Xenopus tropicalis: one gene and its partners. The protein of the gene in region 2 binds, or shares a complex with, the protein of the main gene of each other region. Links are inferred from orthologs where the notes say so. Each region holds a gene or a part of one and is shown on either strand. Other genes may lie near its edges.

Region 1 (5,351 bases), on a different chromosome or scaffold from region 2:
ATAACCACTTTTATTAAAAGTGAATACAATCAAATATGCCTGTGGCAGAAAGGTGCTGAGAGTTAGACCAGTCATGCACACAGCATGTTAAAACCTGTTCATAACACCCATCATGTTTACAGGGTAACCCTTTTGAAATAAAAAATAACAAAAGTGGTATAAAGGTGATACCTTTATTGGCTAACTAAGATAATCATAGCAAGCTTCCAGAACATTTTAGTTCCTTTTTTCTAGCCAATAAAGGTACAGGTATGGGATCCCTTATCTGGAAACCCATTATCCAGAAAGTTCCGAATTACGGAAAGGTCATCTCCCATAGACTCCATTTTAATCAAATAATTCACATTTTTAAAAATTATTTCCTTTTTCTCTGTATAAATAAAACAGTACCTTGTTCTTGATCCCAACTAAGATATAAGCAGTGGGGGATTTTTGGTCCCATTTAAAAACTGTTGAAGTCACACGGAGCTACTAGTAGCAGCTACTTTTTTACAGCTACTAAATGCCAGAAAATCCCCTGCCATAGACAATACTGAGAATTGCCTCTGCTAAAAAACATGTTGAGACTGTTATCCAGGGCTGTGGAGTCGGTAGAAAAATTCTCCGACTCCTCAGTTTCTGATACTTCCGACTCCTCTGTTTTTAATATGCGAATGTATTTTATACATTCATACAGTCAGTGAAAAGCATGCTTCATGGTCACTCAACGTGTTAGTTTATGCACTGCGTGCATTGGGCTTTATTCTTATAGCAGAGAAGTAATTAATTATGACTGTTTGTGAATTGGGACATTTAAACTTGCTTTATTTTTTTTTTTTTATTCCCATTTAAATTTAGTAGGAGTCGGAGTCGGTTCATTTTTTGCCGACTCCGACTCCAGGTACCCAAAATTGCCTCCGACTCCTCGACTCCGACTCCACAGCCCTGCTGTTATCAGTAAATGATCAGCATTGTCTACTACAAGTAGCAGCTACTATTAGCTCCATGTGTCTTCACCCTAAGGGCTCTGGTACATGGGGAGATTAGTCGCCCGCAACACGGGAGATTTGTCGCGGGCGACTAATCTCCCCATGTACTAGAGCCCTAAGGGTACAAACCCACTGAGTGAGTTAGGAGAGATCTATCACATGTGAGTAACTGCTTCGAAAAGGCTTTCCACAGGTAACAATAGAAGTCGCTGGTGGAAAGCCCTTTGTATCGTTTCGTGTTCCGAAGTTGCACAAAGTTTCCTCCTGCAGGCAACTCTGCGTGAGTAGTCCTTTTTGGAGCAGCTACTCGCATGCGATATTGTGGGCAAGTAACTCGCTCGGTGGGTTCTTAGCCTAAAGCTGGCCATACACGGGCAGATCCGCTCGCTTGGCGATGTCGCCAAGCGAGCGGATCTTCACCCGATATCACCACCTACGGGTGGCGATATCGGGGAGGAATTTCGGTGAATTCGATCGTTTGGCCCTGGGGCCAAACGATCGAATTCTGCAAGCAGCAATGGGGCAGTCGGTTCGGGGACCACATCAACGAGCCGATGCGGTCCCCGGTCTGACAGGATTTTCTAACCTGGCCGACCGATATCTGGCCAATTTCAGGCCAGATATCGGTCGGCCAGTCCGATCGTTTCTGCCCCTGCACGGGCCGATAAGCTGCCGAGTCGGTCCAAGGGACCAATATCGGCAGCTTCTATCGGCCCGTGTATGGGGACCTTAAGAGCCTGAAGACAAAGGCAGAAACAACCGAAAATATAAAATGAAGACTAGTTGAAAAGTTGCTCAAAACAGGCTATTCTATAACATACTTAAAGTTTAACTGAAGGTGAACCACCCCTTCAAAAGCAGAAAAAAATGATGTCCTACGTATTTTGGGGACTCGGGCATAAAATAGCGGGGGATAAAACTAATTGGGTTGGGGAGTTGGGTTGTGTGCGTACAGTGTACAGTACAACATAATGCACTTTGCAGAGACTTTACACATGTCGAGTTCAGACTCGAGCCTGTATTATAAAAGTCCTCTCTATCAAAATCAGATGGATCAGGTGAGGTAAAAAACGTGATTTATAAATCAGACTAACCTGGGACAGCCATAAGTCACAATTCTCAGCGTCCGTACACAGAAGATCGCACCCCTCAAACAGTTACTGCGCGCCTCCTAACCAATTCACTTCCTCGGAACTCAATCACAGCATGGACTTGTTTCTCAGCGGAACAGAATAAGCGGTGCGCAGTGGAACGCAAATGAAAGCTCTGGTTTCCGGGAAGTGTACTTTCGGCCACACTAAGAGAAAGGGGGGAACTAAAGCAATGCAACTCTGGTGTAATCATCCTCTGCTGTAGACGCTGTGATCTTGGAGCATTCGGGTAACAAAATACGAGCTACTATATAACTGTGGATGGGACGAGTCCTGTTAACGCTCTTTGCTGTGTCATTTTTAAATCAGAATCTTCTCTGGCACCCCTCTGAGGCTGTATGTGGGCGGTCCCGTCCTGTCAGGTTGCACGCTGGAGTTTGTTTGCAAGAAGCTGAGTAACAATGAGCAATATTTACATTCAGGAGCCGCCGACAAACGGCAAGGTGAGCAGCGGGAGAAAGTAAGGGGCTTGTAGGGCAGAAGGATAAAGGAATAATATTTAGCATGGGATTCCCATCTGCTGTTGCTGAAATATCTCTCCCAGCGCGGTACCTGATAAAGGAAATGTAAAGTCTATAAGTAAATTTACTCAATGTTTTTCTGTGAAAATACATTTCCCAGGGTAAATGTTTTAGTTTCGCGTCATGTAGCTGCCCCCCCCAGCTGTCAGCACATTGGTATAATCCACATGGGGAGCAGAGAGGACTGTGCTGCGCTTTATGGAGACTCCTCCTGCATATTCAGCCCTAGGACAGAGCTTCTGAGCTGACTAACTAATGTCCTGCTAGGAAGGTGCCCAAATGCACCAGTGCAGGCTGTCCTTTAGTTACATGAATGGGCTCCAGGCGAACCCCAGCCACATATATAGGCTATATACCAAACTAACATACCTAAACTATATATACCAACATCAATACTAACTGTAGATATTAGTATCACAATAGCCTTGGATATTCTGCTTGTTCAAGAACTCATCCAGGCCCCTCTTATAGGCATTAACAGAGTCTGCCATTACCACATCACTAGGAAGGGCATTCCCCAACCTCACTGCCCTCCCCGGGGCGTGAGGAACCCCCTACGCTGCTTCAAATGGAAGCTCCGTTCCTAAGGGGGGGCCTCTGGTGTGGTGGTTGTTTTTATGGGAAAAAAAGAACCCCCCCATCTGCCTATATTCCCCTCTAATGTACTTGTACAGAGTAATCATGTCCCCTCGCAAGCGCCTCTTTTCCAGAGAAAACAACCCCAACCCTGACAGTCTAACCCCATAGTTTAACCCTTCCATCCCCTTTACCAGTTTAGTTGCAGTCTCTGCACTTTCTCCAGCTCATTAATATCCTTCTTAAGGACTGGAGCCCAAAACTGCACTGCATACTCAGGGTGAGGCCTTACCAGGGACCTATAAAGGGGCAAAATTATGTTTTCATCCCTTGAGTCAATGCCCTTTTTTTAAGCACTTTATTGTAGCCACAGAATGACACTGCCTAGAATTAGACAACTTGTTATCTACAAAAAAAACCAGATACTTCTTTATTAAGGATCCCCACAACACACTACTATTTAGTGTGTAATATTATTACATTATTATATTATTTCTACCCAAGTGCATAACTTTGCAGTTTTCAACATTAAACCTTATTTGCTGCCCAGTTTTCCAGCTTTGTCAGCTCTGCAAAGCGGCAGCATCCTGCATGGAACTTATAGTTTTGCACAATTTAGTATCATCAGCAAAAATAGAAACAGTACTTTCAATGTCCACCTCCAGGTCATTAATAAACAAGTTAAAAAGCAAAGGACCAAGGACTGACCCCTGCGGTACTCCACTAACAACACTGGCCCAATTAGAAAATGTTCTATTTACCACCTCTCTCTACACTGTAATCTATCCTTCAATCATTTATTTATCCAATTTAAAATATTATGTTCCAGTAGTGCTGGGCGGTATACCGGTATATACCGAACACCATTTTTTTAAAAAAAAAATGATAAAAATTTTTAACTTACCGGCATACCGGTGTGGGCGCCTCCTGGCAATTTTTCTTACTATTTCCGGGTTGTGCGCGCTGACGTCGCGCGTGCAACCCGGAAATAGTAAGAAAAATTGGGGGGGGGGGGGTGTTTGGGGTGGTCACCTAATCATGCATGGGGAAAAAAAAATACCGTCAAATACCGTGATACCGATATAATAAAAAAAATACCGTGATATAAATTTTTGGTCATACCGCCCAGCACTATGTTCCAGGCCAAATTTTACCATTAACTTTCTGTGCAGTACTGCTAAATGCTTTAGCAAAGTCCAAGTAGATCACATCCACTGCCATCAACTTGCTCACCTCCATATTGTTGCTCAATGTCATCCCATTTCTTTCTATATGATGTACCCATAAGTATCTCCTGAACTACGCTGTGATAATTATATATCTAGTTCCATGTAAGAGGTAAAGAAGGTCTACAGCAGTGAGCCCCAACCAGTGGCTTGCAAGGAACATGTTGCTCCCCAACCCCTTGGAAGTTGCTCCCAGTAGCCTCTGGCTTGGATGCAAATTTTGGGGGCATAAAGACCATGTGTACTGCCAAACTGAGCCTCCTGTAGTCTGCCCATCCACGTTGGGCTACCTAATAACCAGTCACAGTCCTCATTGTAACCCCTAGAAAACTTTTTCGTGCTTGTGTTACTCCCCAACTTTTTTATATTTAAATAATGCTCACGGGTAGGGTAGGATGTCCTGTGTGAACTTGTGTCATACTATATGCCACACGTGAAAGACAAAGGCAGCAAGAAGAGGAAGAAATCCTGCCCAAATAATAATTTTTACTACCACTTTTCCAGGTTTTGCTGAAAACAACTGCTGGAGAGATTGACATTGAATTGTGGTCAAAAGAGGCACCAAGAGCATGCCGAAACTTTGTACAGCTTTGTTTAGAAGGTAACGTTGCAAACAGAAACACACACTTGCAATAAAAGCCAGATTACTTCAGAACTTTAGAAAACCGTTGATAATGATGCCTTGCTAAGCTGATCCTTGCAACCAAAGAGAAAACCAACAGTGGCAGGCAATAATTTATTATTTTTTGCTTCTATTGGGTCATAGATTTGATTTTCTATTGATTTCCCCCTTCTTCTTCCCTTTTTAAATTGGGTAATCTATTTCACAACCCCTTATGCACTTTGTTTTAATAAATGTTATGCATTGTAGAAAGACATTTCACATTATTAAAAGAAGTGGAATCCCAC
Region 2 (4,367 bases):
CAGAGCAGTTGACCTGAGTGTGAGAAATAGACATATTTATGAAATCAATTTTATTTAAAGAGGTTAATGAAATATTTTTAGAATAACTTTACTATGAAGTTAAAAGCATTATTCTAAGACAACTTGTATCTGGTCTTTTTTTATTGTGGCTTTTTGAAATGTAAATCTCTTGTTCTGCAACTCTTGGTCCTGGAATTTCAACTGATCTCTGGTTGCTTTAAGTTTAATTCACCTAGCAATACCATAGTAGTTTAAAAGTCTGATAAGAATAGCAATAAAACGGGTCCGTTGCAGTTCATGTGGTTTTTGGTTGTAAGTGAACCCAACAACCAGTTAGCTTTAAAGGTGGAATAGTAAGGCTAATAATACAATACAGACAAAATAAATAATGACTATTTAAAAAGTTGCTTACATGGGAAGGAAAGGTATTATCACTGGGGGTGCCAAAATCTAAGGCATCCCCCAGTGAGTGTGATCGCTTACACTGGGCTGGTACTCCTGTTAGGAGAAAACTGCACCAGCCTGGGGTAGCTGTGAGCGAGCCATTCCTTCTTCAAGCCGCATGTGCAGCAGAGTGAAAAGCCAAACTTTAACAAAAAAGCTGTCTTTTTCACTCTACTGCGCATGTGCTGGCCCTGGGATTCTGAGTATAGAAGTAAGAGGATCACTCTCTTGCAGCTACTCCAGGTATAAGGTAAGCAATTACAATCACTGGGGGTGCATAATATTTTGAAGTGATTTTATCTTTCCTTCTCCTTTAAAATAGGTGACTCTGTAACATATTAAAAGTGATTCTAAAGGTATATTTTCAGGTATATTTTAAATGTTCAGTAACTATATTAGGACTGTTACTCCTACTTGCTTTGATATTGTTACATTTCTTTAATAATAGGCAATCACAGCTGGATATTTCTACCACACGGCACGTCTTACTCGTAGTGGATACAAGACTGTCAAACAGCAGCAGGCTGTATATATCCATCCAAATAGCAGTCTTCATGAGGAGCAACCCCGCTGGGTTATATATCATGAGCTGGTTTTCACCACCAAGGAATATATGAGACAGGTCAGCTCTTACAGAGTGCATGTGTAGAAATAAGTGTGTGTGTATCCTGTAAGGCAGAATTAACCCTTGGTGTCTGTATTCCTAAAAAGAAAGAGATATTTTGCTGCAGATATAGTCACCCCTCACTATATAGTCCAGGGCAGTGCTGTCCAACTTCTGTGGTACCGAGGGCCGGAATTTTTCCGACCTACGTGGTGGAGGGCCGATAATGGAAGCCAGTTTTAACCACTCCCCTTTTTGAAACTGCACCCACTTGAAATCGCACCCGTGTTATCACATGACCATACCCATATTAATGGTTGTAGTACAGCAAAAACCTGCCATACTCTGCCTTCCCTACCCTGCCTGCGTGTGCCATACTTTGACTGTGTGTGCCATTCTTGGCTGGTTTGTGCCATACTTGGCCTGTGTGTGCCATACTCTTCCTGCCCTACCCTGCCTGTGTGTACCATACGCTGCCTGCCATACTCTGCCTGCTCTATTCTGCCTGTGTGTGCCATACTCTGCCTGCCCTACCCTGCCTGTATGTGTGTATATATATATATATATATATATATATATATATATATATATATATAATATAATTATTTGAGTGCATATATGTATAAAAATATAAATATATATTGTGTTCAGATTATAGAGATTGATAGCACATGGCTCTTAGAGGTAGCTCCACATTACTACAAGTCCCGAGAGCTGGAAGACCCAACTAGCAAGAAGATGCCAAGAAAAGCTGGCAAAAGCAGGGAAGAACTAGGCTGAAGGTAGCCATCTTCATTACCTGTGTATTTGTTTCTACTTTACAGTGTTTGTCTATTGCAAAAAAAAAACCTGGAAATCAAAGACAATGAATAATGTATAGTTCTAGTAATTTAAGTTTTACCATTCTTCTATTACAGTTTGTAATATGCCACACAAATAGGCACTACAACCCCCAGAAATCAGAAATGTTATTAAATACAGTTTCTAATTCTTTTCCTGTTGTTGCAACCAGGGTTCCCAAATTAAGTCAATTTTTTCTGGACATCCTCTAGCGAGGTATGCCAGCTTTTGGTTAGGGAGAGTTTCATTAATCAGTTTCTTCCAGAATGCCAAAGAGGGAGGGGTGTTCAACATATCAGTTAAGAGAATAGCTTTTTTAGCATAATAAAATAACTGCAAATAGCATGGTTTCTCCTATTGAGGTCACCAGTTATACCCAGTAGGCACAGGCTCGAAGACAGTATGTTGGGAAATGTGAGTATACGCTCAATATATGTCACTATTTAACACCAGAAAGTACGTATAACTGGGCACTCGCAAAACACATGTAAAAAAGGAACCAACATCATTTTGGCATTTGGAACATTGGTGGTCGGAGGCTCCTGATATACTTTGGACTGTCTCTGTGAGGTCAAATAGACTCTATGAATAATCTTAATTTGGATGTACGTGTCTCTAGCTGACATGGTGAGTTAAGACACCCAATCAAGTGCCTCTTCCCACATTTCCTCTTCCAAATCTGGTATATTGTCATACCACTTTTTCTTGGTCCTGAGGAGAGTATTGGATTGAAGATTCATCAAAATAGCATATAAATATGTCAGTGCCTTAGTTAGATCTTGTCTATGGAGGTATAGTTCTACAACAAATTGTAGTGCACACAAAGTATTTTGTGTAAAGATGCAATTTTTTGCATTTATTCTGACCTGAGCACAGTTTTTAAAATTGTACACACAACTTCAAAATGTGCACCTAAAAGAATTTTTTTGTGCACATAGTCAAAACAGAAGGCCAATGAATTCACATTTAAAGCAGGCTAGCATTTGCCAGCTATCAACTTAATGATGTGAATATTTTCAGAAAGGCATTCCAGTGTCCTAATATGCAATATCCTAAATGCTGTTATACAGAGAAATGCCAATGTCCAGATACAGTACTGAGATACCTCTCACTATATCTTATGTACACAATGCAGGATATGCTGTTCCACAGAGAATACCCAGTGTCATGTTAGGCTTGTGTGCTGCTATTAAAAGACATCCTAGTCTGCTTTGTATCATCCTAAGGGCAATCTGTGCTGATAAATTGCTTAGTCATTTTCATGCAGAGACAAGCCAGTGTTCTGATATGTTATATATAAAAAGAGAGACTCGGTAGTGTTTTAAATAATTAGTGTTCAGTTGGAGATTTCAAGTATATTTATACTCAGAGGTGTTTCACACGTGAATATATTGAACAATATGTTGGTTAATTGTGAATTTATTTTTATCTTTTAGAACTTTAACTCTGCTGCAGTAGAACAACACTTGTATGGGCTGTGGCTGGATTGTTTAAACATCTGTAAATCTCTTGTATATAAATATTTTTTGGTACACGATTGGGGGTTTTTTTGTCTTTTTTTTTTTTTATTGTTTTTAATTCACCATTGTCAAATTTTGGAATTTAATCACTCTATGAGAACAGAAAGAGGCCTACTGAACAAACTCTTTATGTAGTAGAGTTGGTGGCTGAGGGAAGTGGCATAGGTAGCTGTGCAATAAGAGAAATTCAGATGACACAACTTTAAGGCTTCAGTTACAATTCCCAAACCAAAATATACCTAAATGCATCAATATTAGCCTCCAGTGGGTAGTATCTATAGTAGAACGTTTTTATATATTTGTTTTAATGCGTTGGATTACTGCAGAATACAGGGTTTGTCTCTACTCATTTTTCCAAAACCTTAAAGGTGCACCCTTCTGGAAGAAAATCCATGACAGCTGGGAATCTTAGGGATCACTTTGCATCATTGAGGGTAACCCCAAATATGTGAGAGGATAGGCAGATCACTGAGAAGCCAGGGAAGAGGAGATTGGACAGTTAGGGTAAATGTAGGGCTGCCATCTGGCTGGTAAAAATGATGCTTTATCCCAGTTAATAGGATAGATACATTTATTTGAAGGCTGGTATTTTTTTCCAGAAAATGTGGCAAGCCTATGTATATGAGGGAAACAAGTTTGCTTCCATTATAATAGGATGGCAGGGCCGGGTGGCTGATCTAGTTTACAAATTTGCCATTTTAAGTGAAGATGTTGAGAAATACTTAATTCCAAGTTGTAGCCATGAGATCCACCATTTGTACTCTCCAGTGATGACGTGGTGGTGACAAATCCACAATCACTTACTGACTGTAGCAGCATTATGCTATATTTATATAATGGAATTATATTCCACAGCACTTGCCAAAGATTCCATATCAATCCTTGCCACAATTTATTTGTCTAATAGAAACAACTGTATCCAAAAACACAACCTACCTGGAGATACTGTAGAGGACACC
Region 3 (5,268 bases), on a different chromosome or scaffold from region 2:
TCCCTTCCCAGAGGCTATTATCCCCCACTGCTACTATAGGCACCATCTCTCCCTACTATACCTGCTATCCCACAGCCACAGTCCCTTCCCAGAGGCTATTATCCCACTGCTACTATAGGCACCATCTCTCCCTACTATACCTGCTATGCCCACAGCCACAGTCCCTTCCCAGAGGCTATTATCCCCCCACTGCTACTATAGGCACCATCTCTCCCTACTATACCTGCTATCCCACAGCCACAGTCCCTTCCCAGAGGCTATTATCCCCCCACTGCTACTATAGGCACCATCTCTCCCTACTATACCTGCTATCCCACAGCCACAGTCCCTTCCCAGGGAATATTATCCCACTGCTACTATAGGCACCATCTCTCCCTACTATACCTGCTATCCCACAGCCACAGTCCCTTCCCAGGGAATATTATCCCACTGCTACTATAGGCACCATCTCTCCCTACTATACCTGCTATCCCACAGCCACAGTCCCTTCCCAGAGGCTATTATCCCACTGCTACTATAGGCACCATCTCTCCCTACTATCCCTACTATACCTGCTATCCCACAGCCACAGTCCCTTCCCAGAGGCTATTATCCCACTGCTACTATAGGCACCATCTCTCCCTACTATACCTGCTATCCCACAGCCACAGTCCCTTCCCAGAGGCTATTATCCCACTGCTACTATAGGCACCATCTCTCCCTACTATACCTGCTATCCCACAGCCACAGTCCCTTCCCAGAGGCTATTATCCCACTGCTACTATAGGCACCATCTCTCCCTACTATACCTGCTATCCCACAGCCACAGTCCCTTCCCAGAGGCTATTATCCCACTGCTACTATAGGCACCATCTCTCCCTACTATACCTGCTATGCCACAGCCACAGTCCCTTCCCAGAGGCTATTATCCCCCCACTGCTACTATAGGCACCATCTCTCCCTACTATACCTGCTATCCCACAGCCACAGTCCCTTCCCAGAGGCTATTATCCCACTGCTACTATAGGCACCATCTCTCCCTACTATACCTGCTATCCCACAGCCACAGTCCCTTCCCAGAGGCTATTATCCCACTGCTACTATAGGCACCATCTCTCCCTACTATACCTGCTATCCCATAGCCACAGTCCCTTCCCAGAGGCTATTATCCCCCCACTGCTACTATAGGCACCATCTCTCCCTACTATACCTGCTATCCCACAGCCCCAGTCCCTTCCCAGAGGCTATTATCCCCCACTGCTACTATAGGCACCATCTCTCCCTACTATACCTGCTATCCCACAGCCACAGTCCCTTCCCAGAGGCTATTATCCCACTGCTACTATAGGCACCATCTCTCCCTACTATACCTGCTATCCCACAGCCACAGTCCCTTCCCAGAGGCTATTATCCCACTGCTACTATAGGCACCATCTCTCCCTACTATACCTGCTATCCCATAGCCACAGTCCCTTCCCAGAGGCTATTATCCCCCCACTGCTACTATAGGCACCATCTCTCCCTACTATACCTGCTATCCCACAGCCCCAGTCCCTTCCCAGAGGCTATTATCCCCCCACTGCTACTATAGGCACCATCTCTCCCTACTATACCTGCTATCCCACAGCCCCAGTCCCTTCCCAGAGGCTATTATCCCAGTTGATATTATTAATCCTTTTCTGACACCTACACAAATACACCTCATGTCATGTTACTAAACTCCCTCCTGCTTTCCATGTAGAATCACCTGAGAATCCCAAAGCCCTGGTTAGTGCCCGGACAGGGCCATTACAGGCATCATATTAAAATAAACAAGTGCTGCCCATCACGGACAGACGGGCCCCGGTTAGAGTTACCTGCTCCAGGCGTAATTGTGCGAGCACCTCAGGTGTCACACGCAAAAATGTGTCCTTAGCACTTGTGAGTTTCAGGGACACAGCAGCCCCGGGCGGTCCCGGACCTAGCATCCTACTGTGGCGTACCCACAGCAACCCCCTTCACTCCAGCGCTGTGTATGACGAACGTGCAAGTAACAGAACTTCCATCGCTAACGTTATCAGCTCCTTCATGCCTACTGGGTAACTTCCGCGCTGTTTCACCTTTGACAATCGAGGAAATCCCACTCACCCTGTGTCTGCTGACGTATAGTACCTCCCGCCCAATCAGAGAATGGCGTGCTCTAATGACGCCTGTGTGCGGGGCAGTCCTTCCGCCTATTGGTTCTGCTGCCTTTCCGCCTATTGGTTCTGTGTCCCGGCCTGTGTTTGGTACAGGGAGAGAGGGAACTATTTCTTAGACAGCAGAAGCCGATGGCAGAAAGCGCAGCAGTGCAAGTGCAGGCCTACGCACACCATGAGCAGCGAAAGATATGCGCCTCACGGGCCAAGTACCGCGAAGGACGGAGGCCCAGAGCAGTCAAAGTGCGTGAAACATTTACAGTTTTTGTTTTGGTTTTTATACGTCCACACAACTAGTATTCCAGCGTATTCTTGCGGTGGGACTGAGCGCCAGTGCCGCTCTAGCAGGTTTCCCTTCGTAGAAATTGCTCCCTAGAGTTATCACTGAGTTACAGCTTCCATAAGAATGTTAGCTCTTCTATATTCATGTGGTTTTAATTGGGCACTGTGTGGGAACTGGTAATGATTTCTGTTTCTACATAGGAGCATATTGTTCCACTGAAGGAAAAAATGCTGCCTTTTTATCTGCACCCACTGATAGGGGAATAGTGTGGGAGAGGGATTAGAGTTCTAGTTCACCATTTGGAGGCAGTAGGTTTCATTATAAACTATGGGCTATTTCCCATGATTGTAATTATAGATGTCACAGACCCAGTGGCTGCAACTGATAAGGCTAAATATATGTTTATGAATAAAAAGATAATTTTGTGGTTGGGCCCAGTGGTCTCTAGTTACACCAGCAGTCATGTATACTGCAAGCCAGTGGGGTACCACAACAATTTCAATTTAGGGCCCAAAAAATATTTGTATGTTAACCTATTCTACCAAGATACATTGACATTTCTCATCAATTAGGGTCTTATTGGGCCACTTCCATTCCTGGGCCACTTCCATTCCTGGGCCACTTCCATTCCTGGGCCCCCTTCCAACTGCAGGGTCTGCCCTAGCACACACTCCAGTTTCCCTTTCCTTGCCCTGTAACATTACATCATTTCACTCTGCACACATTCTCATACAACCAGCACACTTAACATGTCTGCATATAAAAAAAACACACACAAACTGATACTATTTTCTTTTAATTTCATAAAGAAGAGTATAATGCACTCAGTTACTGGGTTCACGTTAAACTGAGGGGTATATTTAAAAAAAAAAAAAAAGTTTAAATTTGACGCTTACCAAGATTGACTTGTAAGGGTCTGTTTTAAGCTTTCCATATCATGTGACAAATGTAAGATGCTGATGTGCATTTAAATTTTAAATGTTTGAGAAATAAAAAAAATTATATTTTGACCAAAAACTGAAAATGTGCCTCATCTCAGTTTTGTGCCTGTAGCCCTCGGCTATTGCACCCAGTCAGATTTATTCATATAATGCCAGAGATTCTCAGCTGGATTGAGGTCAGGCCTGTGACAGAGCCATTTGATCACTGGGATCACTGTTCTACTGAAAGATTAATGTTTATTTTTTAGCAGCCTGGAACAGGCTTTTTTTTGGTGATATTTCACTGTATTTTGCCCCATGCCTTGAAAACAATATTCCCAGTTGCTGCGTTAATTATATAACACACAAATCTGTGGTACTAATGAAGAATCAGGCTTTTGCGCAGAGAAATCTTTAGTTTAGGACTTTAAAAACTGTTGATTCCTTGCTGAATACTTGGACAGATAACCATTTGCTTTATACAGTATGGCAAACATGGCATATACAAACAGTTGTATCACTCTGGCTTGATTAAGCCATTTTACAGATGATGCAAATAGAAAAACTTTAACGTATGTTCAAGCCAAAGAAAAGTATCCAGTGCTTTCTAGCAAGTTACTGGCTTTCCTTCAAAAGCGATACCAGTAAAATTATATAGCCATCCTCCCGCCAAGAGAGCTATATCACTGGGCTTTAAACTATTATATAAGCAGAAATGAGTTGCTGGAAAGCTGCACACCATAAGAGCAAGTTAATACCTGGGTGCCAGTGCTGAAAGCGTAGATACACAGGGTTGGAATGACAGCACACGCAGGATGTTTTTCAAGAAGAATCACAGAGGTTTAGATAAATAAATGTGAGGCTTTATTCAGTCCGACGTTTCAGTTCCTATCTGGAACTTTCATCAGGGACAGTAACATCACAGTGCAGTACAAACCTTTTTAAGCACAAAAGGGCCCTAAACCTCTGTGATTCTTCTTGAAAAACATCCTGCGTGTGCTGTCATTCCAACCCTGTCTATTATATAAGCAGATAGTCTATACTTCTTCCACCAAGGGACACAACAAATGGCTTCTGAAATTTTCTCAATTACAAATGTCTCAAGGCCTTACAGTATGCAAATAAATGTCTTCCAATGGGATCATATAAAGAAATGCATCTAAAATTCTTTTTATTGAGCCTACTACTCGCCAAAAGTCAGTCCCAAATAGGACTCTCTGGAGGCAGATTTATTTAATTGTTTCTGGACATGTCCTCATAGTAAAAAGTTTTGGGTATCAATAACTTGTTATGCCATTGATAACTTGCTAGACTATGTTCCTATGTTACCAAAATGGATTATGTTCCTATGTTACCAAAATTGACAATGTTTGGTATCCCTACCAAATACTAGACTTATTGGGGGAGTAGAAAAGTACTGTTTATCATATCTGCAGCTGCTCGTAAATATATGCTACAAGTGTGGATAGAGAAACAACCCCGTCACTGTCTTTTTTTAAAAGTAAATTTTATATATTCACCTATTATTTCACCTGTTTCACATGGATTGGCTAGAAGTCTCCCTCCAAAAAGAAAAACACACGAGATGAAGAAAGAAACAAATGGCAATCAGTTTTAAAATGTTTTAAGAACAATTATTTTAAAACAAGGTTACTGATCCACCAGTAGTGCTATAGATGCTATAGAAAGCGCTTTCTCTTACCATTATCCTTCCAAGTGAATGACTTCACTTTGAGAATTATAAAACTATGCTTCTTGTAGATTGTAAGCTCTTTTGGGCAGGGCTCTCTTCACCTTTTGTATCGGTTTTTGATTGCTTAGATGTCCAGTGTATGAAACCCACTTATTGTACAGCACTGTGAAATATGTTGGCACTTTATAAATAAATGTTAATAATAATAATAAAAGA

The links. Proteins that work in one complex are often made in the same cells at the same time.
Region 1: dhx16 (region 2) and cwc27 share a complex: the UniProt entries of both Homo sapiens proteins name them as parts of the minor spliceosome. The link is inferred for Xenopus tropicalis from reciprocal best matches to the Homo sapiens genes DHX16 and CWC27.
Region 3: dhx16 (region 2) and rbm48 share a complex: the UniProt entries of both Homo sapiens proteins name them as parts of the minor spliceosome. The link is inferred for Xenopus tropicalis from reciprocal best matches to the Homo sapiens genes DHX16 and RBM48.

The regions. Positions count from the first base shown.
Region 1 is NC_030677.2:188,226,098-188,231,448, reverse strand, and holds the start of cwc27 (spliceosome-associated protein CWC27 homolog), read left to right. Parts: upstream 1-2,256; 5' UTR 2,257-2,348; intron 2,349-2,428; 5' UTR 2,429-2,520; coding exon 2,521-2,562; intron 2,563-4,946; coding exon 4,947-5,043; intron 5,044-5,351. Other genes in the region: protein SREK1IP1, read right to left, coding at 2,063-2,075. UniProt on the Homo sapiens protein: As part of the spliceosome, plays a role in pre-mRNA splicing. Probable inactive PPIase with no peptidyl-prolyl cis-trans isomerase activity. As a component of the minor spliceosome, involved in the splicing of U12-type introns in pre-mRNAs.
Region 2 is NC_030684.2:75,475,182-75,479,548, reverse strand, and holds the end of dhx16 (putative pre-mRNA-splicing factor ATP-dependent RNA helicase DHX16), read left to right. Parts: intron 1-892; coding exon 893-1,066; intron 1,067-1,699; coding exon 1,700-1,828; 3' UTR 1,829-1,830; intron 1,831-3,324; 3' UTR 3,325-3,425; downstream 3,426-4,367. UniProt on the Homo sapiens protein: Required for pre-mRNA splicing as a component of the spliceosome. Contributes to pre-mRNA splicing after spliceosome formation and prior to the first transesterification reaction.
Region 3 is NC_030682.2:31,762,650-31,767,917, reverse strand, and holds the start of rbm48 (RNA-binding protein 48), read left to right. Parts: upstream 1-2,173; 5' UTR 2,174-2,288; coding exon 2,289-2,399; intron 2,400-5,268. Other genes in the region: pex1 (peroxisome biogenesis factor 1), read right to left, coding at 1,836-1,946. UniProt on the Homo sapiens protein: As a component of the minor spliceosome, involved in the splicing of U12-type introns in pre-mRNAs.